Linked DNA regions of Mus musculus. The protein of the gene in region 3 interacts with the protein of the main gene of each other region in a pairwise test. Links are inferred from orthologs where the notes say so. Each region holds a gene or a part of one and is shown on either strand. Other genes may lie near its edges. The genes, in order: Ubqln1, Ammecr1, Efemp2, Nufip2, Creb5 and Il16.

Region 1 (4,144 bases), on a different chromosome or scaffold from region 3:
CTTTCAGGGGAATGTGATGTGAAAACAGAAAGTTAGAGGGGGAAGGTGTGTGTGTGGGGTGGTTCATCATGGAAGGCAGCCTGGGTTAGTGCTTAGGGAGAATACAGCATGGAGGGAAACCATACAACAGGGGAACTAATAAAGTTGGAAAGATATATATATATGAAAATTCCAAAATCCTTGCTTGCCTAATGGGGGGAACTTTCTACCCCAAGTAACAATTTTCTCACACCTAGACATAACGCTTATAACTTCTTCCTGTGATTGAACAATGCTGGCAGAAATGTAAGTGATATCAAGTGACGCCGTATTGCCATTTTATACTTTGAAACTCTGACCCAGATTTCAAAGAGCTCTGCTAAGAAGTGTTTATGCAACCACAGTTAATCATAGAACAGGGTTCGATGGCCCAAGAGCAGAACTATGGAATGCCTTTGCATATTTGGGTCACGGTACACTGTCAAGAGTTCACATTTGTGCAATGCTGGTTAATATAAAGTGCTGGACTGTATTACACGTTATCTTTACGAATAAATGACGTGGGATCCATATGTGAAATAACTTATGTGTGCCTACATTATGCCGAAAATACTTTTTCAGCCATTATCTCTGATGCCACCTCAAGCCCGAGGTGTACAGTAACTTAATTGGACAGAATACAAAAGGCACACATCATCTAGGCTAACTCCTACCCGCTGGGCGGACAGTCCTAGGCATTCTGTTTCTGCCCCCACGCAGCTTGGAAGACAGACAATATGGGTTGCCCTATCTGACCAAACCGGTTTGACTCCAGGGAGGGAAGCTCAGGCCTCACTGAAACAGTGAGCACCTGTGGATGCATTGGTTGCTCACTGGCGTCTGTTTCGCGGTCCTTTAAAGACCTTTCTCCATGGGTTTAGCTTTCAAGCCCCGAGCACAAGACAAGGCAATCGCAACTCCTTCCACCCGGGCACCAACACTACGCTTATTAAAATAAAGTAGCTCGCCGCTATTTCATAAGCAGACGCCCACGGGGACCAGGTGGGGAGGATACCGGGACCGTGAGCAATGGGCCAGACGTTTCTAGCAATTTCGCTGGCCGTGACGTCATCTTAGCGCACCATCACGGTGCCTGGCAGAAACCCCGTTTGCATTTCTTTCAACGAAGAACGGGAGACGCGAAGTGGGTTAAGTTCTCCCGCCATGCCCAGCACTCCATCGACCTTGAGGAGCCCGCGCTTCGTCCGCCGGCTAGAAAAGGATCGAGCGCTGCCATGCATGAGTCGGCTCCTTGGCCAACGCGCTACCCGGCGTGCCTCGCGCGGCCGGCCGCCAGGAGTCGGCGCGGCTACCAGCGCGTTACCCAGAGTGCCCTGCGCGGCGCCGGCGACGAGCGTGGGGGAGGTGCGGGAGGAGGAAGCGGCGGCGACGCGGAGAGTCCCCGCGTCCACACGGCAGCCGATCGCCCACCCGGGGCCTGCACCCGCAGCCCGCGTCCACGCACCCTCGGCGGCCCCGCAGCCTGTCACGCCTCGCGGACCCGGCCGCAGCCCGCAGTGTCGCGCTCGCCTGAGTCACCGCCATGGCCGAGAGCGCAGAGAGCGGCGGCCCACCGGGCGCGCAGGACAGTGCGGCCGACGGCGGCCCCGCAGAGCCCAAGATCATGAAGGTCACGGTGAAGACGCCTAAAGAGAAGGAGGAGTTTGCCGTGCCCGAGAACAGCTCGGTCCAGCAGGTGAGGGCGCCGGCCGGGCAGCCGCCGCGTCGCTGACGGGGCGGGAAGGGCGGCCTGGCCGGGCGGCGGCCCCGGGCAGCTCCGGTCGGACCCCGCTGGGTTCCGCTGCGTGAGCTGTGCGGGGCCGGGCCGGGCGAGCCGCGCGGCCTGGGCTGGGCTGCGCCGCGGCCGCCGAGCTCCGGGCCCCGGGCCCCCACTTCTCACAAAGGGCCGGGCGCTGCGGGGCGGCTGGGCGCGGGCGGCGCTCGTCCTTTGGCCAGGCTGGGTGGGGGGTCATTGTTTCACCTGCCTGCTAATTGGGGAGATTTAGGAGTGAGAAGCACGTGGAGGGTTGGTTCTCGGTTTTGAATGCTGAACTCCTTCCCATCTTCGAGCCTCCTATATAAAAATTATGACGTGGAACTTGTTTTCAGTCGCATTGTGATAGCTCACGCCTGAAAGGAGAAAAGTAAATGACTTTGATTCATTGGCGACTTGCTGTTTCTGTTACAATACTTCCGTCATCGCTTAGCTGCCAGTCATCGGATAGGTTATTGTTTGATCTTTAGGGAGACGAGACAGACACCTAGCTGGGTCTTAGCAGTTGGTTGCAAGGAACCTGCAAGAAAGCACAGTAGGTGATAAGGGGAATTCTTATCAAGTAATTGCTTTAAAGTCTATTCAGGCAAACAAGCCTTGCAGTTAATTAAGAGCCTTGGGAGAACCAATCATGTATGTTTCAACACAGTCTAGGGCACTTGAATTGTTGACAGTATCAAACATTGTAAACAGTCTTATGCGAGGAAGCAAAGTATCAACCACTGGAATGTACTTTTAAGTTCTCTCAAGGTTTATCTAGTTCCAAAGGTGAGGTCGGGTTTTTCTGAAGCAGGAGGGTGTGTGGCACCATTGAGAGAAACTCTTGTTGATTGGATCATTACCATTGTTTGTTAACGCTGCTATAAAAAATTTTACCTTCTTTATATTCCCAGCAGGTCTGTATGTCACCCACAATTGACATTTTCCAGCCTTTTCTGCATCATGCATCTCTTATTTCTAAAAATACACTTTAAAGTTGTAAATATCAGTATTACCCTTATAAGGTCGGCAAGCAGCATGGGTGTTAGTGGCTTGAGAACAACTTTTTTTGAAAAATGGTATTCCACTTATGTTTGAGGTGCGATGATGGGACATGGTTGCCTTTGCTGGTTTTTGCAGACCCGTCTACACCTGTGTCAGCCAAGCACGTGACAGCTGAAGTCTGTTACAGTTGACGGCACACTTTTCGTCTTCCGTTTTCTCTTCAGTCGAGCTTTTGTCACCTCTGAAGATTTTTATTTTCCCAACAGAGTTTGAGTTTGCATAAACAGAGTCCTCTCTAATGTGGTCTTTTGGATAAGGCTTTTTTTCTTCTTTCTCTCACTCAGCATATTTTTTTGAGATTCATCCTTGAGAAGGTCTGTACCCCTCCCACCACAGAGATCTGCATACTAGGCACAGCCTCCAGTCTACCACTGAACCAAGTCCTCAGCTCAGTACTTAACTGCTCAGTGCCTTTCCATGAATGTGCCATAATCTGCCAGGGTTTTTTCAGCTGGTTGTAGTTCTTGAGAACAGCAGCCTCATATAAATCCTTTAGAGACCATATGCTTTTTATCTGTATTAGAAGAGCTCTGGTTACACTTTAGATCTTTGGGGTTTTTTGTTTGTTTGTTTTTGGTTTTGTTTAAAAGACAGGTTTCCACTCTGTAACTCCGGCTGTCCTGGAACTCTCAGTGTGTAGACCAGGCTGGTTTCAAACTCATCTGCCTCCCAAGTGCTGGTATTGAAGGTATTCACCACCATGGCCTGCCAGTTCTGTTTAGTTTTATAAGAAACCTGAAAAGTGTACTATTTTGCAGTTCAGTCAACATCATATGGGTGTGTGCTCCTGTCCCTCTGTCTCCTTGTTAATATTTGGTATGAGCAGGGTTTCTTGTTTTTGTTGTTTTCATTTTTTTGAGACAGGGTTTCTCTGTATAGCCCTGGCTGTCCTGGAACTCACTTTGTAGACCAGGTTGGCCTCGAACTTAGAAATCCGCCTGCCTCTACCTCCCGAGTGCTGAGATTAAAGGCGTGTGCCACCACGCCCGGCCGTTTTTGGTTTTTTTAATTGTAACTATTTAGTGAATGTGTGGACATATTAAATTAGGAAGCTCTTGAGTCTTCCTGAGAGTCCCAGTTTAGTTTTCCATCTTCCTGGCAGCTTCCACATTTTATTTTTGGACATTAGAAATAATGCTTTATAAATAGAAAAATTATTTAGGTGGGCATCTATAGGTTTGTGGGTTCTTTGTTTTTGTAATAGTGACACTAGAATTATGAATTCTGTGGAAGCTTATTATGTTTTACTATGCTGTAACTAAAAATGACTTTAATGGATAAAAGTAAGGCTTTCCTAAGGTAACTTAT
Region 2 (3,500 bases), on a different chromosome or scaffold from region 3:
AACCTGTCTGAGATAGCAAAGCAAAAAAAGATACCTAATATTGTAAGGAAAGAAAACTTCAAAAGCTGTATGTGCTGAAAAAAAAATTCAGTGATCTAAAATAATAAAACAGGATCTTCTTAACAAATGCCATTGTCCTACCCGTTACCATGATGCTCTTAACTAACAATGTCGAAGCTTCACCATGGCAACGGAAACTATCATCATAAAATGGTACAGTAAAAGAGATAGCTAGACCAAGAAGGTGTAGGGTCTCCTGGGAAGAGGTCTGCAGAGAGGCCCAGTGACTGGTTGTGCGGCTCAGTGTCAGGAATAATGGTTGTATGGCGGAAGGGGATGCCCGATGCCATTTTGGAAATGATGATGCTGGCGATGAGCAAGGTATTCAGCATAACTCAAGGTCATCTTTTCACTACGGTACCTGAAGGGGAAGGCGGGGAAGAGAAAAGTTAACATTGAGAAACACATGGTATGCTATTATCAGAGCCAGAGGGACTCTATGAGATCATTTTATATAGTGGGAAACAAGAAGCCATGAGAGAAGCAATTAGTAGCCCAAAGTCACAGACTTGGTAAGCAGCAAAGCTGAGATCAGAACACTGATCTTAGTGCTCTTTCTGCCCTTCTACTCCAGGAATGACATTGTCCCTTTTACCCACTTTGCTATCAGGAAGGAACAAGGAAGAGGCTATCTTTTACCATCATGTCTCTATCGCCATCATAGACACATCTCATTCATTGGGCTCCTTTTATAGCAGAGACCTTCCATCACTTCCCCCTTTACTCTTCCTTTGTTCACACATCTTGGGTCTGCTCTATGCTACACGTCAGTACTGAAGCCCTCTCACTTTGTCTCTATCTAGTTACTTGTCCACTACCCAACTTTTCAGGAGAGTAAGCACAGTTTCTCCCCTCAGGTTCTTTCTTTTCCTAGCAGGTGCTCAGTGTCCCTTGGTTCTGCCACTGTCCTTTCATGGCTGTCAGAGGCTCCTTAGGATTCTCTTTGGAACTTTCCATGATACTCCCACAATCCACTTGTTCTGTAGGCTCATGGATTTTACACCTCCACCTTTCCCTGATGCTGTCCCTGCTTCTCATCTCTTTGACAGCTGCTTCTATTCCTACCTTGCAGGATTTTCCTTGGTTCCACCATTCGCAGTTTAAACTTTACACTCTGCCCTCCTCCATGCACTGGGATCCCCACAGCTTTGACTTTGACCTGCTCACAGATTATTCCAGGCTATCAGCTCTATCATGAACCTTCTAGACTATATTTCCCTTTAGTGACATTTCCTACGTGCGCTGAAAGACCTGCCAAATCATAGTGCTTTATATTTCTTAGAACTGGCTTTGTACTGCACCACTTACGTGCTTTGATTCACAGCACATCTTCAGGAATCCCTTTCCTCCCTTGCTCTCTACCTGCCAAATAGTCTACTCGTTCTTTAAAGCCAGCCCTAAGTCCACCTCCACTTTGAAGTTGTCTGTTACCCACTGACTTCCTGGAGTTCCCCGTCCCTAGCACTATGATCCTACACATCTGTAATAGTCTGCCTTGTAGTAGTGATTCTTTTTATTCATGCCCTTCCATTCTCCTTCAACTATAAGCTTGAGAAGAACAGAAATGGGGACATTCTCAAATTTGTAACTGTGCAGAGCTGAGAACAATCCATTTTTTGAAACTACAGGCATGTAATACAATTTTCTGGAACTGAAATAAATGGAAACAGTACCCCATTCTTCTAAAATGTTCAATACTTTCCTTAAGTAAGAATCCCTATTATTCCATGTTGACATTTATTTAGCATTCACATTCAGCTCAATTTTGTTTTTCAATAAGCTTTCATAGTAGACTCCTATCACTGCCAAAATTCTAAGGTTAAATTTAAATTTTCGGACTGCTTATTGGAATCCTGGGGTTCTGCTAGGCGACGTCAAAAGCTTGTGAATAGCTAATTCTAGTACTTTCTCCAGCAAGGTAGTTTCAAGTCTCACAGGGCTTGCTGTACAAAGCCCAAGTCATCGTATGGAGCTAGAGATGGAGAGGATGACTTCGGGTATCATGCAGGCTTTACTGCACAGCAGACTTCCGGTGTAGCCACTCTCAGGACACTCTGCCATTTGTTTCCACTATTTTAGACAAGAGAAGCAAGGATAGTTCGAGAGTCTTAAAAAAGAAAATCAGGTATAGGCATATCCTTCAAAGTCCACTGGTTAGTTACAAACTGCCATCCCAGCCATCCCAGTACCTGGTCAGCTTTATGGTTTTTCTGAATTCATTAGTAATTGGAGCTTTGTATCCTCCTTTTCTCAGTAATGAGTCTATGGTCTGAATATGGTCCCATCCTGTGCAGAAGAAGCCAGATAAAATATCAGTTAAGCAGTGTCACAAAAGCACCTTTGGTTAAATACAGAAATGACTTGGTAGAGGTCAGCTATCCCTGTCACCAAATGCCATCAATTCCTTTGGTCCTAAAAACCAGTCAGATAGAAGAGCTAACATTTTATCCTTGTATAGAATCAGGTCCATCACAACATGCCTTAAATTGTCTAAGAAACTACTCAGTCATGTCTCTGTCACAAATCACAACCAGGTACTCTTCTCTAATGGTCCTACCTTCAAAAAGAAGGGAAAGCCTAAATAAATAAAACATGACTTGTGTCAACTTACTAGTTGGGGCTCCAATCCCTATTTCATGGTGATTGCTGGTCTTAATGGTATCTTCTATGCTTGATAATCTACATTTGTGTGAAATATTCAATGAATACCATTGTTTCTAATATGAATGCTATTCTAATATCTTTATGGAGTTGGTAATCCTGCAGTATTAACACATTTTCTAAAGCAATCCAAATAAATCTTCACATAACTGCCTTAAAGATTAACATTTTTATTTGAGGTTTAACATTAAAATCTATTGTTATATCTCTCATATTTATATGAGCATACATGAGAAAAGCACATTTAAGTGCCTTCTGAAAAGATAAGTGCGATAGAATTTTTAAAAAGCATTTAAACTAATGTAAACTTAGAATTCAGTAGTGGCTAGGAAGGACAAACTACTATAGTGAAGTTGTTTGGTGTCACCATATTGGTTCATAAAGATGTGTGGCATATCTGTGAAATAAAATTATTTTTGATTACGAAGTGTAGAGTAAACATAAAAAACTTCATGTTTTCACAACACCCCCAATCTTAATGGAAAGCTTATAGTTTCACTATTAGCTGAATGAGTTATGGCAGTCACATAAGAATTGTTAGATACTGACAATGAATGACATCAAACTACATTTGATGTAGTTTCTAAACCTAAGGCCTCTTAACGCCATCAAAATTACTGCACACTGGTGCCTGGAAAACTGTGTTACAAAGCAGTAACAAACAGCTGCCTAAAATAAACCCCTAACTTCTACAAATGTGTGCCATTTTAAAAGTTTGCACTTATGAGGATGCTGTCAGACATCAGTGAAAGGTGCAGATTCCATGTGAGTAATTAACC
Region 3 (2,332 bases):
TTCTGAGTGGCTCTGCTAGGTTCTTGTTCTGTGACCTTGGTCTGGCTCCTGGTCTGATGCCTTACCTCACCCCAGTCCTCTGCTACTAGTGCACTCCTGTCACTAGACACGGAAGATTAAATGTGGGTGACTCAGCCCAGCTCGCTGACGAGGGCGGGCAGGGGTGGTTGCCGAGGTGAGCCAACTCAGGCCCCACCTGGCCTGTGTTCTACTTTCCCTCCCCCACCTCCATCTCAGACATAGATGAGTGTCGTTACCGCTATTGCCAGCATCGATGTGTGAACCTGCCGGGCTCTTTTCGATGCCAGTGTGAGCCAGGCTTCCAGTTGGGACCTAACAACCGCTCTTGTGTGGGTGAGGCTGTGCCAGACAAGGTTCTGGGATCCTGGGTGGAGATGTGTGACGTGGGGGCAGGATCTTCTTCTTGAGCCCAAGTTGAGTGTGTGTGTGTGTTTGGGGGGGTCTGGGCGTGACACTGCTCTCACCCTCCTGTTTGTCCTCGCACCCTCAGATGTGAATGAGTGTGACATGGGAGCCCCATGTGAGCAGCGCTGCTTCAACTCCTATGGGACCTTCCTGTGTCGCTGTAACCAGGGCTATGAGCTGCACCGGGATGGCTTCTCCTGCAGCGGTGAGAGTCACTTGTGCTACTGGATACAGCATCCCCCCCCCCCCCGCCTCCCCCCCCTCTGCCGCCTCCCTTAGCACTTGCAACATATTGGAGCAACTCCAGGCGCATGGTCATTTGCTTGGGGCTTCCGCACGTCTCCTTGCACTCACAGGCCTCCCTAAGCTCCGTCTTGAGCTTGTCGTTTGGCACTCCCAGCTTGAGGGGATGCTATGCTAGGGGCTTCTGAAGCTTGCCAGAGAGACAGAGAAGATGGAGGTGCCAGTCTTCCTGAAAGTTGAGTTGACTTGCATTGGAATCCTACACTGGGGAAAGTTTTCTCTTCTTTCTGGGCACATGTCTACTGCAGACAGGTTATTTGAGTATTAGGGGCAGTGATAACAGGCTTCATCAAGTCTCAGGCAGAAATAGTGGGAAGCACCATTTGTTTATCACTTAAAATTTTCAGTCTCATTTAGTCTGGCCAGGGATGATTGACTTTTGTAAAACAGGACATTAATATTCCTCCAGGTTGGCAGAACTGTGGAAAGCAAGCAGAGAGGTCAGAGAAAGTACTGACTTTCATCTTTCCACTTACTGAGATTGACATGACTGTCCAAGTTCAGAGGGGAAAGATGAGCCGGGCTGGGGTGTGAGCCCAGGCGTCTCACTGTGTTACCTGGCATGCCCTCATTTACTTTATGCTTTACCGGGAAGCACAGGATCATTGGTGTTCGGCTGTGTGAAAGGAACAAAAGCAAAGAGATAGGATGCTGCTCGGGGTAGGGTGGGGGGCACACACTTAGCCCAAGTCTGGGCATTCTGACCGCATATTGCAAGACTTGAAAAGAACAGAGCGGCTATCCCCTTGGGGCACCTGCTCATTTGACTGGCACAATGTGGACCCTTTCTAAAATGGGTTAGTAGGACTTAGGCCCAAGCCTCTAGATTCTTGCTGCTTTTTAAGACAGAGTCTATGTAACCCCGGCTGTTATAAAGCTCTCTGTGTAGACCAGGCTAGTCTACAGAGATCTGTTGGGTAGTGCTAGAATCAAAGGCACAGGCCACTATGTTAGGCGAATGCTTTGTTAAGTCTTAAAGTCCTGGGGAAGAGAGGTGCTCCGCATGCTGGAAGATTCCTTGTTGTAAGACAGGGTCTCACTGTGTAGCCCTGGCTGGCCTGCAGTCTCTTATGTAGTAGACCAGGCTGCCTCAAACCGATCTGCCTGCTTCTGCCTCTGCCTCCCAGATGTTGGGATCAAACACCCCACTGTTTGTTTTTCAAGGCATGGTCTTGTTATGTAGCCCTGGCTGGCCTTGATCTTGATATAATCCTGGCTTGGCTTCCTATGTGGACCAGGCTGGCCTTTAACTTGGTATAATCCACCTGCCTCTACCTCCCAAATGCTGGGATTATAGACATATAGCACCATGCCAAGCTTCAAACCTTTCTATTCTTTTTCTTTTCTTTTTCCTCTCCCTTTCCTTGCTGGGATGGAACCTAGAGCTTCAAGCGTGTTAGGCAAGTACTCTACCACTGAGTTATCCCCAGCCCCCAACCTTCCTCTGAAACCTGAGCCCCCCTTGAGCACTGTGGGTCTCCTTCTTTCCTTCTCTCTTCCCACATCCATCCTTATGGGGGTGCTGGGCTCCCTCTCTCTTGGTCAAGGTCTGTGGGACTCAGTTGTGAGGCCTCCCCTTGGCCCAGGGTCCTCATCCCCGCCC
Region 4 (4,210 bases), on a different chromosome or scaffold from region 3:
GTCCCAAATAAATCTAGCTTTTAGATTTGACACTGCAATTACTCAACATGTTTTGTCTCCTGTGCCCTCTTCTGGATCCAGAAAACCAGTTTCTCATAGCTTTGGAAGTAATGGTTCATAAAAACTTGTTAAGTATTTCCCTAGCATTTTCTAGATTTTTTAGCACAGTACCCAACGACCAAACCACATACGGGAAAGCCGCTGAGCCCAACTGTTAATAACCTCTAAATTTCCTAAACCCAGTTCCCTCCTCATTCTTCATCCCAGGTTAAGACACATTGTGAGGAGGGCCACCTTCAATGAATGGTTCAGGGTCTGCCTTTCTATGCAGTGAGGAGCCCTGTGGGGAATACATAAACCTCATAAAAGACAAATTCTGAATCTGTGAACAATACCACTGGGCAACCTTGATACTTTCTCACCTCATGAAAAGCAAAACTAATACAGTTACATAATTCCTAAGTTTCTAGGCTGCTGTAAATCCTTACAATTAAACACTTCTGCTCTATCATCAGTCCCTACTACCCTACAAAAGAAAATCTGATATCCACTCAGCTCTGCCTTCAAAGTTATATTGTCTACAGTAAGTTTTTCACCAGTAACTTACTTGTATTACTTGAAAGACTAAGTTTAACACTTCTTTCTTCATTCCCTTTTCAGTTAAAAACAAAACAAAACAAAACAAAACGTGTGAATATATAAACTTTGATGCTTATTTTAAGTAGCTCAAGGCTCCACATTTAATGTTAAATAATACTCAGTTAGGGGATGGAAGTCGGTTTTAAAATGCACCAAAACGCCTCTTAACCACCAAAAAGGTCTTGTCCAAGGTAAAGGGCTGGTGACAACCACATGGACAAGTCACTTCCAGTTCATAGTTAAAGAAACAGGAAAGCCAAAACTGCCCGTGTTGTCCCACCCATTAGAGCATCGGATTAATCCCTCCCACAAAGTCACTACCCAGCTCAGAAGTTTAGGTGTTCGGTGGAAAACGAATGGAACAAAGTTTGAGAGGTTGTTCCCCAACCCCCCCCCATTTTTTTTTTTTTTTTTTGGGTAGGAAATGCGCTGCTATAAAGAAAAAAGGCCTAAGTGAAAAAGCCTCCGAGGCGGAGTCGTGAGCGAACCTGGCAGGAGATGAGATTCCTGTGGCAGAGAAACTCGTGACCCGGGAGCTTGGTTCCCGCTGGGTACCCCACCCGGCCTCAGGCACCGCCTCTCCCCAAAACGAATCCCCCTCGCCCCTCGCAGGCCAGCGGAACGCTACGGCCACGGCCGCCGCCCGGGCCTCCTTCCCCCTTCAAGCTCCTCTTCAAGGCCCGCTCCCCGCCCGCGCCTCCCGCCGCACCCGGGAGCGGGAAACGCGGCCGTCGGGCGCGCGGGGCCACGGTGCAGGCCGCTCCCCTCGTGGCCGCTTCCCTCCCCCACCCCAACCGCCCCCGCCCCTCACCCCAGGGACCCGCCCGGGGCCGCGCGGCCGCCACCGGGTTACACAACCCCGGCGCGGCGCGGCGCGGAGGGGGAGGGGCGGCGGGCGGCGGCCGCCCGCAGTGCGGGGGGGACCCGGAAAAGGGCCGCAGAGGGTCCCGGGGCAGCCGGGCCGGCGTGCCGTGTGGCCTTCGGCACCCTTCCCCCTCCGCTCCTCCGCCGGCCGGAGTCGGTGACAGGAATCAGCTTCCAACATGGCGGACAGGAAGCGGCCCCGCGAGGAGGAGAGAACATTCCAGCCTCGCCGGCTCCGAGGCGAGCGGGCCAGGGGCGCCGGCCTGCGGAGAAGCCCTCGCGGACAGACAACGGGGTCCGGACGCGCAAGACGGGCGTTTAGGGGTGGAAATGACCCGAGGGACGATAGGGTCCCCCACACACCCAGACGGCAAACCCCAAGGCCACAGGTGGGCTCGGGGCGGCGGGTGAGCGAGGACGCTTCCTCAACTTAGCCCTCAGCCCCGCTCGTCGCCGCCTGCAAGCGGCTCTCGCGACACCACCCGCATCAGGATGGATTCACTAGGCCTGAATTACATACACCTCGGGGGAATTTTTTATTTTATTTTTTTAGGGCGGCTGAGTTTCACCCCCTTCTTAGGGGCCCCCACATTCAGGCAACTCCAGGGCCCGCACTAGAGGGGAAAAAGAAGATGAAGGCTGGACTTCCAAGGCCGAGGGCACAGCTCTGCCTCCGGCCGGCCGGGGCGGGGACCGAGGAAGGTCACGCCGGCCTGGCTGGGCCTCTCCCATGCTAAAGGGAAGGAGAGGGCGCTGCAATCCCCACCTCGCGGCCCGGCCCGCGCCCGGGAAGAATGGAAGGGGGCATCCCCGGCCCGGCGGGACGCACACCCGGACCGGGTCCGCGCTTTTCCCATCTAGCCCCACCCCCATCGCTTCCCCCCCCTCCAATCCAGTCCCCCTTCCCCCACCGCCCTCCCTCTCAGACCTGTTTTCTTCTTCGGCGTTTCCTGGTGCTGCTGGAGGGTGTGTTTCTGCTCATGTTTCAGCGGCTTGGGCTGGGCCTTGGGGCTGCCCTCGGCTCCATGCTGCAGGTATTGGTGAGGCTGCTGGTGATGGTGGTGGTGGTGGTGGTTGTGGCTGTGGTTGTAGAAATAATAATGGTGGTGGTGGTGCGACTGCTGCTGCTGCTGCTGCTGGGGATGATGGTGCGGATGGTGGTGGCTGTGATGGTGCTGAGGCTGTGGCTGGCCGGGCTTCTCCTCCATTGAAAGCGGCTGGGACTCCCTGGCTGAGGCTGCGGGCTGCTGCACCGTCAGGATCTGAGACTGCTTCTCCGCGCTCGCTCGGTATATCTGAGCGCGTCTCGCCAGCGCACTGGTTAAGCGAGAGGATCTGCGAGATTGGCAGCCGTGCTCCAGCAATGAGGAGCCACGCTGCGCGTCAAGCCCCGCCCCTAGCTCAAATCCTCTTCCCTTCCCCTTCGCCACCGCCGCCTGGCCAACGCCACTTACCCTATGCAACCTCACAGGGCCGGGCCTTCAACGTCAGCATTATGGCTCTCTCTTCTATCGCTTTCTCTCCTTCACCACGCAGTTAGCGAACAGCACTTTCTACACTCCTCACACCGAGCAAGCTGATGTCGAGTGTAGCAGATTCCACTGACGATTCTACTGGCGCTAGGAGCCATCTGTTGGTTTTGCACCTCCTAGAATGTGTTGGGTTGTGAGTGTGTGTGTGTGTGTGTGTGTGTGTGTGTGTTTAATTCTTTTCCGGGTAGCCAGAGAGGAAAGCTCAATTTCCTTAACCCTTAAACCACGAAGGGGGCAATTCAAAAAAGAGGAAATAAATACATTTTTAAGAATACAAGAGCTTCACAACTCGATAGATCGTTTTCGTATTCTGGATTCATTTTGCTTTGTATTCATATGCTAATCTCTTCCTTTCCACGGAGGGATTATAGGGTTCCACAATAGGGTATCTGTGTAATTTTCTAAAAGGGGACAAAGGGCTTAAATCATTGTTTCTTTGTAGTTGAAAGCAAGAGAGAGGGAGGAATGAAAAAAATCTACACTGAAGTTTTTTGGGTGTTTTTGTTGTTTTTTTAATCAAACACTGCAGGTGAGGTCAACTATGGAACCAAAATAGATTTTAGACTAAGACTTTCAAAAGTGAAATAAAGGAGAAAGGAACCCTTTAAAAGTTCTTAAGGTTTGGGTTTTTAAAACATTTTTGTATTAAATTTAAGGAAAACATTGAAATGTAAAGGTGTATTTGCAATTTATGCTGTTAATTTAACCTGTTATGATAGGAAGAAGGTTGTGATAAGCACAGACACGGGGTACCCTCGAAATATATATTTGGGGGACTTGGCTAGGAGTTTTGTTTGTTTTGGACTGGTTTGTTTTTGAAACAGACTATGTAAACCTGATTGGCTTGGAACTACCTAAGTAGAAGTGTCTGGCCAACTAAGAGATTCCCCCTGTTTCTGCCTCATGAATGCTGGGATTAAAGTCCTACACACACCAGCATACCCCAGCCAATGTGCTATTGCTATTACATGAATAATTGCTTTAAAATTCATTAAATTAGATATACATTTGTCTATGTATTATAAGGGATTTTTTTTTTTTTTGGTACAGCCCTGGCTGTCCTGGAACTCACTCCTGTAGACCAGGCTGGCCTCTGCCTTCCAAGTGCTGGGATTAAAGGCATGCCCCACCATCACTGCCCTCCCCCCAAGGGAAAATTTAAATGTAAAGTTTAC
Region 5 (3,999 bases), on a different chromosome or scaffold from region 3:
GAGATCTGGGGTTAGACATGCGCTAGAGTGGTCCCTGATGATCAGGAGAGCTCCTAGCCTTCTGAGTCTGTCTGCCTCAGCTCAGCTGTGAAATAGAGATAATTACAACACACTCCCCGCTTTTCCTTATTCTGTCAAAGTCATATGAGGAAGAAGAAAATGGTGTGGCTTCAAGTGTTTGGCAAAGTGTGAGCTGTTGTTGGATGACAGTGGTCATTTCGAACAGGCTTTCAATGCTCCCCAAAGGGAGAGAGAGCTTCCAAAAGGAAATCTAGCCCTTGCCAGGGATGAGGAAGGTGAGAGCGGTGGCTTCTGGCCCATGCTGAAAAAGGTCAGTCCTCTTTTCCCTTTGCAGACCTGGCCCTAGATCCTGTATTCTAGCCCTGGCTCGACTGCTTCCCAGCCGGCGAGCTTGGGCCAGTAGCAGAGGCTCTGGAAGCAATGGCCAGGGCCCTTCCGGCGCTGACGCGGAGTCTAAATCCGGCTCATCATTTGGCTCTTGGCTGAGATTCGCCTTTCGCCTTTAGAGAGATTCTCTCACAGGTCAGCACATGCAAGGTGCGAGACCAGGGAAGGCTGTGTGTAGTCCTACTGAGTGTGCACAAGAAGTTATATGCCCTTGAGCGTGATGAGGAGAGGGGCGGCGAAATGGAGATACTAAGAAGCCAGCATGCAGAGAACGCTGCAATGAGGTCATGGCTGTCACAGGCAAAGGATCTGGGTATCTTCGGTGGCTGGGGTAGGGAAGTAGGAAGTGGCCTGCATTTGTAAGTGTAAATGTCTCTTTCTACCTCCTTCAGCATCCTTACCACCTCATGCACACACCCCAAACCTTACTTCTTTCTGACCCTACAGACACTTCTTGCAGAAGAGCTCGTGCCGGTGTCTCCTGCGTGGCTCTGTTTGAAACCTTCAGGATTGTTTCCAAGCTGACTCACACCACTAATGTCGGGGGGCCGTGTTACTCGGCGCTGGGCTGTGCAAGCTGTTGCTTGCGCGATCGCGGACGCCGCCGCAAGCACCCGGGTCCGCTCGAGGGGCGGGATTTGGGCGGGGCGGAGACCGGGCCCGCCCCCTCGGCGTGCGGGCCCCGCCCCTCTCTCCCTCCTTTTCCCCAACGGACCGCAATGATTTAGAAGTTCAGGAATCCCACGTGACGTCACCGGGGGGGTGATGTAATGCACTCTAAATAGAATGTATTGTAATCTTTGCTCAGTCCAACGTGGTCCCTTCACCCGGGCTCGGCTCTTGCCTTCTCCACACTTGTTTGGTAAGTTCCTAAAAATACGGCGCGGCCACTTCTGGGCCTTTTGCATTTAGCCACTTTCGCTGCACTTGCCGCGCGAGCCGACTCCGGAGCGTCCTTGTTTGCAGGGGTTGGTTCATCGCTGCAGCCGCGAGGTTACTTAGTCCAATGGGCAGGTCACAGGGCAAGGAGTAGAAAGGATGCGATGCATTTTTTCCCCCTTGATTTGTGTTTGTAAACACTTTGGCGGATCAGAAGGAAGTCCGGCCCCAATTGCTGGTGGACTGTGGAGTTGTGCTGTGTCCTGTAGTCACCCAGAGACCCCACGCCGTGTCCGTCCCGGAGCGCTTCTTGGTGATTGCTGCGCCGTGCGACTGGAGGGATGCTGAGTGGAGCCAGCGCCGTGTCCGACCCAGTGTGCGTGCGTGTATGGGAGCGCGCGTGAGTTTCCCTGACACGGGGAACAGTTATGAATCGGGGGTGTATGTTTGCCTCCAGAGCCCCGGCATGGTGTGGAACCCTTCTGAAGTGTGGTCAAGCGGCGGTGGTGGTGGCGGCGGCGGAGGCGGCAGTGGTAGCAGCAGCAGCAACAGACCAGGAACCTGGAGCCTCCTCGCATCCCGTTTCTCAGTGATGCAGCGGAACCCCGGGAGAAAGTTAGCAAACTTCCAACCGTTGCGGCAAAGTCGCCTGGTCACCTAGGGGCAGCCGAGCGAGTTCGCAGGGGGTTCTCCCTCTCCCGGGTGCCCAGCGGCCGCTGCCAGTTCTCGCGACCGGCCGCCGGCTGCAGCGGGAGGGTCGGTTGCCTTGGAGGGGGACTTGACTTTCGCTCCAGGCGCTCCAGCTCGAGAGTGCTCCGCAGCCCTCGCCTTCACTCCTGCAGCCGCCTCCCGCCTCCGTCCCCTTTGCGCTGGCACTCTTACTTCTTCCGGGCTGCTGCCCCAAATGACAGCTGGGGCCCGAGCCGCACTGCACCCAGGCGGTTCTCAGGACCGGGCGACAGAGTCTGCCTTTGAGCCAGATTCTTTATCGAACCGCTTAAACTTTTCACAAAGTTCTTAAAGGGTTGAGACAAGCAGACACCGCCCCCACTAAGCCACTTTAGAGGGACTATAGCCCGCTTTAATTTTTCATTTATTTTCTAGTCATAGATTTATTTCCAGGGAGTGTCTAGTAGAAAAAGCTCCAGCTTTCCCTGGACGAGTGCCGCCCCCACTTGATGCTGGTTCAACGCTGGGAACTAGAGTGGGCTACTTGTACATCGTTGTCAGTATCAGCAACGCTTGCTTGGTTTTTTATTTTTCCCTCTTCCTGACATGTGTCAAAGAATAAAGGCTGGCTACAGGTCCATTACGTCATTCTGCAGGCCAGTAAGTGTTTTATTAAGGGCTTCAGATATTCAAGGGTTTGGGGGCTCAGAATGCTGTCAAAGCAACTATGCCCCCATCCCCCGGGGCAATTGCGGGTTCTCTGGACACAGCTATTGCCCTCTCTTTCCCTACCCCTCTTCCTCCATCCCTCTCCCGCCCACCTCGTTATCACTCGGCCTGCCCCCGCCTTTTACAGTTTCCCCCAGGGGGAATGCTGTCCCAGGAGTGAGCTGAAGAGCTTCTGGTGCCTGAGCGAGCTCAGTACCTGATGAACGCTCAATCTGCCCTTTTCTATTATTTAAGAAAGGCACTATCCAGGCCCGTTTTTCCCACGCGAGAATGTTCAGCCTGGATAGAAAAATCCCTGGAAAGGTTTAGAAGCCTTATATGCTAATAGCTTGTGCCTGCAGTGACTTAGGAAAGCAATAAGCCACAGCTAAGAGCCCAGAGCCCCGTGAACCGAGCCTAGGAGAAGGATGAAGGACCTGACTAAATCAGGTTTAGCGGGAAAGGATCTAGATTTGACATTTTATTTCCAAAGTCAAGGAAGTGTCTGAGAGCTGAAAGTACCATACAACACTTTGCTGCTGCTGCGCGCGGTACTTTCTTATCCTTATCCTTGAGTTTCTATGTTTGTAGAGGAAGTTAAACGCCCAATTTAGAGAACTGAGTTCTTCCCCACTTGCTCTTTAAAAGAACACCAGCAGCAAAAACACCACCACGTGTGACTTGTTTCGGGGACAAAGAGTGAAAACTTTTGGGCGTGAGTGAATAATGATAGCAGAAATCCAGTAAAAACAGACAGAGGCAGAAGCTTTGGGCTGGGGGACAAGGTGTTTGAAGGCGTTTTGATTTGGAGATGGAGGAAGCTAAGTAGAGGAAATTTTATGTTCTAAATAGGTGGCATTCTTGAAGAACACGTGTTTGGTTATAATTAGATCTACTTTCTCCAACATACTCTGGCCATAGAGCAGGCTTTGTGGAGCTCGTGGCTGGAGATCGCTTGACACCCCTTCTTCAAGTTTGTGGCAGCATTATTTATTGGCATCTAGCGATGAAGTGGCATAAGTCTCCTATGGGAAGCATGGGCATTGAAAATGTTAAAATTCTTGTTTGTGATGCAGAGACCTAAAGGGGAAAATGGGCAGGTCACGGGCCCTGGACAGTGTGATTAATGATCACTGATTTAGTGATCAGTGATTAGTGGTTTTATTCAAACTGTTACCTCTGACCAGAAGCACACATCAGAGGATTAACAGGCTCTTTAGATAAATGCTCATTAGTGGAAGGGGAACAGCAAAGATAATAGGCATGCACCCAGGGACAACTTTCGAAGAAAATCATTCCCGTCTTCAGAATAATAAGCTCTGTTAACAGAAAGCC
Region 6 (4,165 bases), on a different chromosome or scaffold from region 3:
TGGATTGAACCTCTGAACCTGTAAGCCAGTCCCAATTAAATGTTGTCCTTATAAGAGTTGCCTTGGTCATGGTGTCTGTTCACAGCAGTGAAACCCTAACTAAGACACTCATATACAAAGAACTAAAGCAGATTTATTTTAGGAGAAAGCCAAAAGCTGAGGTCCTGTCCTCTTGCCAACTCTCTCCATCCATGTCTTCTGGATCCCACCATGAGAGACCCAAGAACTTGAAAAGGTCGAGGAGCCCTTTGAATTGAATTTGATAAGAACACAGTGAGGTCATATTTCTGAGGGGCATCTTAAACTTTAATAGGCTATGGCATTGCTGTTCACTCTTCCACATCCCTAGGCTCTACAGCCACCAATAGATTTGTCTAAATCAAATTCAGAAGGGTCATGCTACCTACCTGTGACCCCTTCCAAGTCTCTGCTCATGGGTAGGTCCTTGGTGAGATGCTTCAAAGAGTTGCTTCAGCCATAACTCAAGTCTCTGCTGGAAAAGTTCCTACACTAGAAAGGTATCTGTCTGTGTCTGTGGTCCCCAGTAGGCTGTGAAGAACCGTGCTTTATCCCATATGGTCCAGGTGCCTGAATCACAGTGCATGATAGAAACTGATTATTGTGCGGGTTGGGGCACACCAACAGTAATTTTAGGGATCAGGAAGATGCCTCTTCAAGCACAAGAACCTGATTTCAGATCCTCAGTACTCACGTAAAAGTAGGTTCCATTTTTTATGTCTATACGCTTAGTACTGGGCAGCAGAGACAGAGAGATCCTGGGGCTGCCTGGCCAGCCAACCTAAGTGAAACAGCAAGATTCAGGTTTAGTGAGAGATCATGTCTTAAAACAATAAGGTGGCTAGCCACAGAAGAAAGACAGCTAGTGTTGACCTCTTACCTCCATAAGTGTGTGCACAGGAAAGTACACTCACACACACACACACACACACACACACACACACACATTTTATCAGGAGAAGGAATTGTTTGTGTCTGCAATGCCTATTGAGACTGGCAATATATTTCCATATGTGAGATATTCTTCATCTTAAACACAGCTCTTTGTCAGCAGCCGCACAGCGCCATACGTGGGGAACAAAAACCCAAGGCAGTGAAAATAAACAAATGGCTGCAAGAGTCCCATGTTTCTGTTTGGGAGGCGCTTCGAATCAGCAAGGGACTCCAAGTTCTTTCGGATCTCTGTTGAAATGAGGACCCATCTATGTCAGTCTTGTAATTAGACAAGGTTGCCTGGTGTCTGCCAGAAACATGAAGAGGTCCCTGCCCAAAAGAGCACGGAGCAGATGGGGTTGCTGAGCGCAGCTTGTGCGTGAGCATGCCGCCTGGGGAAAGGAAGGCAGAGAACCAGGAGCTGTGGTGCCTGCGACACTCGTCCCTGGGGGAGAGAATTAGATGCCACAGAAGCAGCTCCTAGACTACTAGCTCCCTGCACTGTGACCCAGATGTCAGGATCCATGCAGAATAGGGATTCTTCATGGGTCTTGCACTGTGGGGGCAGAAGTGCATCTGTAATGGACAGGTGCAGCAGCTAGGATGTGGCTGCCCTGCTCTGCCAGCTGGAGGAGGTCACCACCAATATGCTCTTTGGCACATCTACAGGCGCACCCCGCTGCTGGGATGTCAGGCAACATCACCCCGTCCCCTCTGCTCATGGCATCTCGTACCTGGCCGGGCTAACTGTAAGTAACTCTGAGCCCTTTCCTCACACTTCCCTCAGCATAGGAAAAAGACCAGCAGGGAACTTAGCCCCCAAAAGTGACAGAAAAATGTCGGTCACAACCAGAGTCAGCTAGCTACTCAAGGGCACATGGAGAGAGACTCAGGAAATCTGGGGAAATGAGAACTCCAAGCCATATACCACAGGACCCGGCTGGAAGCATCAAAGGAAGCTTCAGGCTCCTGGCTTCCAACATGACTCTCAAGTAGACTGGAAATCAATACAGTTAATGAGAAATTCTCTTTTACATATAAAATGAATAGGATTCACAAATGTATAAGATTCTTCACAAAATCAATCTTCTTGCTTGTATATGTGTATAGAATGTGTATATATGTGTGTGTTCCCGTGTGAGGACACACATGTGAGTGGGTGTCTGTGTATGTGTGTGCTTGTGCACGTGAAGGTCAAAAGTTGGTGTGGGGCACCTTCCTCAATTGGTCGCTGAGGCAGGCTCTTCCTCCGATCATCTGTTTGACTAGTGTAGTTAGCTGGTTTGCCCTGGGGAATGCCTTGGCTCAGCTTCCCAAGTGCCGAGGTTATAGGCAGGCTACCACACCCACTGTGCATTCCTGTGGGTGCTAAGGTTTGAAACTCTCTATGCTCCTTATTCTTAAAAGGCGAGTGCTTTACCCCTGTGGCTTCTCTCTCCCAGTCATATATTCTAGGAACTTTCTAGTGGTTTTATTTATAACATAATAATGGTATTAATGTGATGCTGTCTTGCTTTAGTTATATATGTTTATTTATGAATTCATAAACATTTACTTATCTGTGTATCTTATGTGTGGTTAATGATGTGTACCATGATATAAAATGTAAGCTCAAACTTTGAATCAGATTATAAAAGCCCAAAAAGCAGTATTCTAGGGCCTCAGTGGGGCAGAGAAGAGCGTAGGTGTGGCCCTGTAGCCTGGAGTATGCCTGACTTCTCTTTGGACACAGTGGCTATCTCCCTGCTGTCCAAGGTAAGGACTCCTGGCTCAGTCAGCCATGAGCACTCCTCTCTTTTTCTTACCTTATGCTCTCCTAACTGGATGAATATATCCTCAAGCCACAGTAAGGGTCAGAGGTAGTTGGCTGGTCCAGTCTCACATGTCTGTCCATCTCCTTTTGTTCCTCATCCCTCAAGGGTGGCTTTTGCTACTCCCAGCCAAACCACACAAGTCCAGGAATGGTCATAGCAGTTGCTGAAGGAGGCAGGGGACTGTCATATTTACTGCACAGGTGATAGCTGGGCAATATTTTTCCAACACTGAAAAGTGTCAAAAGGAGATAATGAAGTATGTGTGTATGACATGGGAGGGGACATAGGCGCTGTCAGCCTCTCTCTGAACATGGGGATAGCTCAAGAAATACTTATAATACTTACTCATCTCATATGCCATCTTACAAAGTCGGCCTCAACGTATGCCAACAAATAGTGTCCAAGACACATTCCTATGGCTACAAAACAATTAAGCTGGGATTTTCTAATTTAAAAAAAATCAAGAAACTAAAAGATGTAAAATTGAAAATTAGTTGACAATAACCATGATACTCTTGTAAAGAACAGAGTTTAACTGGATATCAAAGCTTCAATTAATGACCTTCTGAGTCAATAAGAAGGCTTTGACTGTGTCTCAGCAACTGCTTAGGTTTTATGTGTCTCTCTACATAATAAATATGTACAAAATAAAACATGTACAAAATAAAAAAAACCAAATGAACTAACTAGTTATATAACAATAGATTGTGGACAAAGAAGGCTTTGGAGGAGACTTAACTTTAAGTAATAGTGACAAAGATGGCCAGCATAGTGACAATAACCAACTAACACAGGGCTGAGAACAAACTTCCATCCTTCCATTTGTTATCATAAACTTTATGAGTAGTAGCCTCTGTTATCATCCCATTTGACAGGTAACAAAACCAAGACACATAAGGCTTCAGTAGGTTTTGAAGGTCAGACTTTGGCTTCTTGAGCTCCTCCACAAAGCATGTTGCCACTCCATGACACACAGCTATATTTCAGAAATTGGAATACTTACTATGTCTTCTAGTCAGCTTAGTTCCAACATTTTTTACTTCAATAAATGTTCTAAGCACTGAAAAATGTTTTAAATAATAATTTTTCAATTTGTTTAGACTTTTCTTTGTAATATATTTTGATTCCACTCACTCCCCATATCCCCCAGTTCCTCCCAGATCCATCCCTACCTTCTTACCCACTTACTTTTGAGTCTTTTTAAAAAAGCTTATCAAGTTCCATTTGTGTTGCCCAAGTCTCTTGAGTATGAGGCCATACCTTGGAGTGTAGTTGACCTACCAGTGGTCAGATTCTTAAAGTAAACTGGCTTTCTTCTCCCAGCAGCCATCAATAGCTTCTCAAGTGGGAGTGGGAGTTCCTGCCCACATTCCCCATCCATGCTGGGATTTTTGTGTGGT

Evidence for each region.
Region 1: the proteins of Efemp2 (region 3) and Ubqln1 interact in binary tests that used the Homo sapiens proteins (3 or more experiments, as listed by UniProt). The link is inferred for Mus musculus from reciprocal best matches to the Homo sapiens genes EFEMP2 and UBQLN1.
Region 2: the proteins of Efemp2 (region 3) and Ammecr1 interact in binary tests that used the Homo sapiens proteins (3 or more experiments, as listed by UniProt). The two-hybrid records come from large-scale screens. The link is inferred for Mus musculus from reciprocal best matches to the Homo sapiens genes EFEMP2 and AMMECR1.
Region 4: the proteins of Efemp2 (region 3) and Nufip2 interact in binary tests that used the Homo sapiens proteins (3 or more experiments, as listed by UniProt). The two-hybrid records come from large-scale screens. The link is inferred for Mus musculus from reciprocal best matches to the Homo sapiens genes EFEMP2 and NUFIP2.
Region 5: the proteins of Efemp2 (region 3) and Creb5 interact in binary tests that used the Homo sapiens proteins (3 or more experiments, as listed by UniProt). The two-hybrid records come from large-scale screens. The link is inferred for Mus musculus from reciprocal best matches to the Homo sapiens genes EFEMP2 and CREB5.
Region 6: the proteins of Efemp2 (region 3) and Il16 interact in binary tests that used the Homo sapiens proteins (3 or more experiments, as listed by UniProt). The two-hybrid records come from large-scale screens. The link is inferred for Mus musculus from reciprocal best matches to the Homo sapiens genes EFEMP2 and IL16.

Annotation. Positions count from the first base shown.
Region 1 is NC_000079.6:58,212,854-58,216,997, reverse strand, and holds the start of Ubqln1 (ubiquilin-1), read left to right. Parts: upstream 1-1,344; 5' UTR 1,345-1,561; coding exon 1,562-1,714; intron 1,715-4,144. UniProt on the Homo sapiens protein: Plays an important role in the regulation of different protein degradation mechanisms and pathways including ubiquitin-proteasome system (UPS), autophagy and endoplasmic reticulum-associated protein degradation (ERAD) pathway.
Region 2 is NC_000086.7:142,855,227-142,858,726, forward strand, and holds part of Ammecr1 (AMME syndrome candidate gene 1 protein homolog), read right to left. Parts: intron 2,347-3,500; coding exon 2,250-2,346; intron 422-2,249; coding exon 307-421; 3' UTR 1-306.
Region 3 is NC_000085.6:5,477,690-5,480,021, forward strand, and holds part of Efemp2 (EGF-containing fibulin-like extracellular matrix protein 2 isoform 1 precursor), read left to right. Parts: intron 1-237; coding exon 238-354; intron 355-511; coding exon 512-631; intron 632-2,112; exon of another isoform or gene 2,113-2,129; intron 2,130-2,332. UniProt on the Homo sapiens protein: Plays a crucial role in elastic fiber formation in tissue, and in the formation of ultrastructural connections between elastic laminae and smooth muscle cells in the aorta, therefore participates in terminal differentiation and maturation of smooth muscle cell (SMC) and in the mechanical properties and wall integrity maintenance of the aorta.
Region 4 is NC_000077.6:77,684,729-77,688,938, reverse strand, and holds the start of Nufip2 (nuclear fragile X mental retardation-interacting protein 2), read right to left. Parts: upstream 2,801-4,210; 5' UTR 2,712-2,800; coding exon 2,432-2,711; intron 2,384-2,431; exon of another isoform or gene 1,128-2,383; intron 653-1,127; exon of another isoform or gene 608-652; intron 1-607. UniProt on the Homo sapiens protein: Binds RNA.
Region 5 is NC_000072.6:53,286,104-53,290,102, forward strand, and holds the start of Creb5 (cyclic AMP-responsive element-binding protein 5), read left to right. Parts: upstream 1-1,199; 5' UTR 1,200-1,270; intron 1,271-1,271; exon of another isoform or gene 1,272-3,379; intron 3,380-3,385; exon of another isoform or gene 3,386-3,999. UniProt on the Homo sapiens protein: Binds to the cAMP response element and activates transcription.
Region 6 is NC_000073.6:83,729,599-83,733,763, reverse strand, and holds the start of Il16 (pro-interleukin-16), read left to right. Parts: upstream 1-1,365; 5' UTR 1,366-1,495; coding exon 1,496-1,700; intron 1,701-4,165. UniProt on the Homo sapiens protein: Interleukin-16 stimulates a migratory response in CD4+ lymphocytes, monocytes, and eosinophils. Primes CD4+ T-cells for IL-2 and IL-15 responsiveness. Also induces T-lymphocyte expression of interleukin 2 receptor. Ligand for CD4.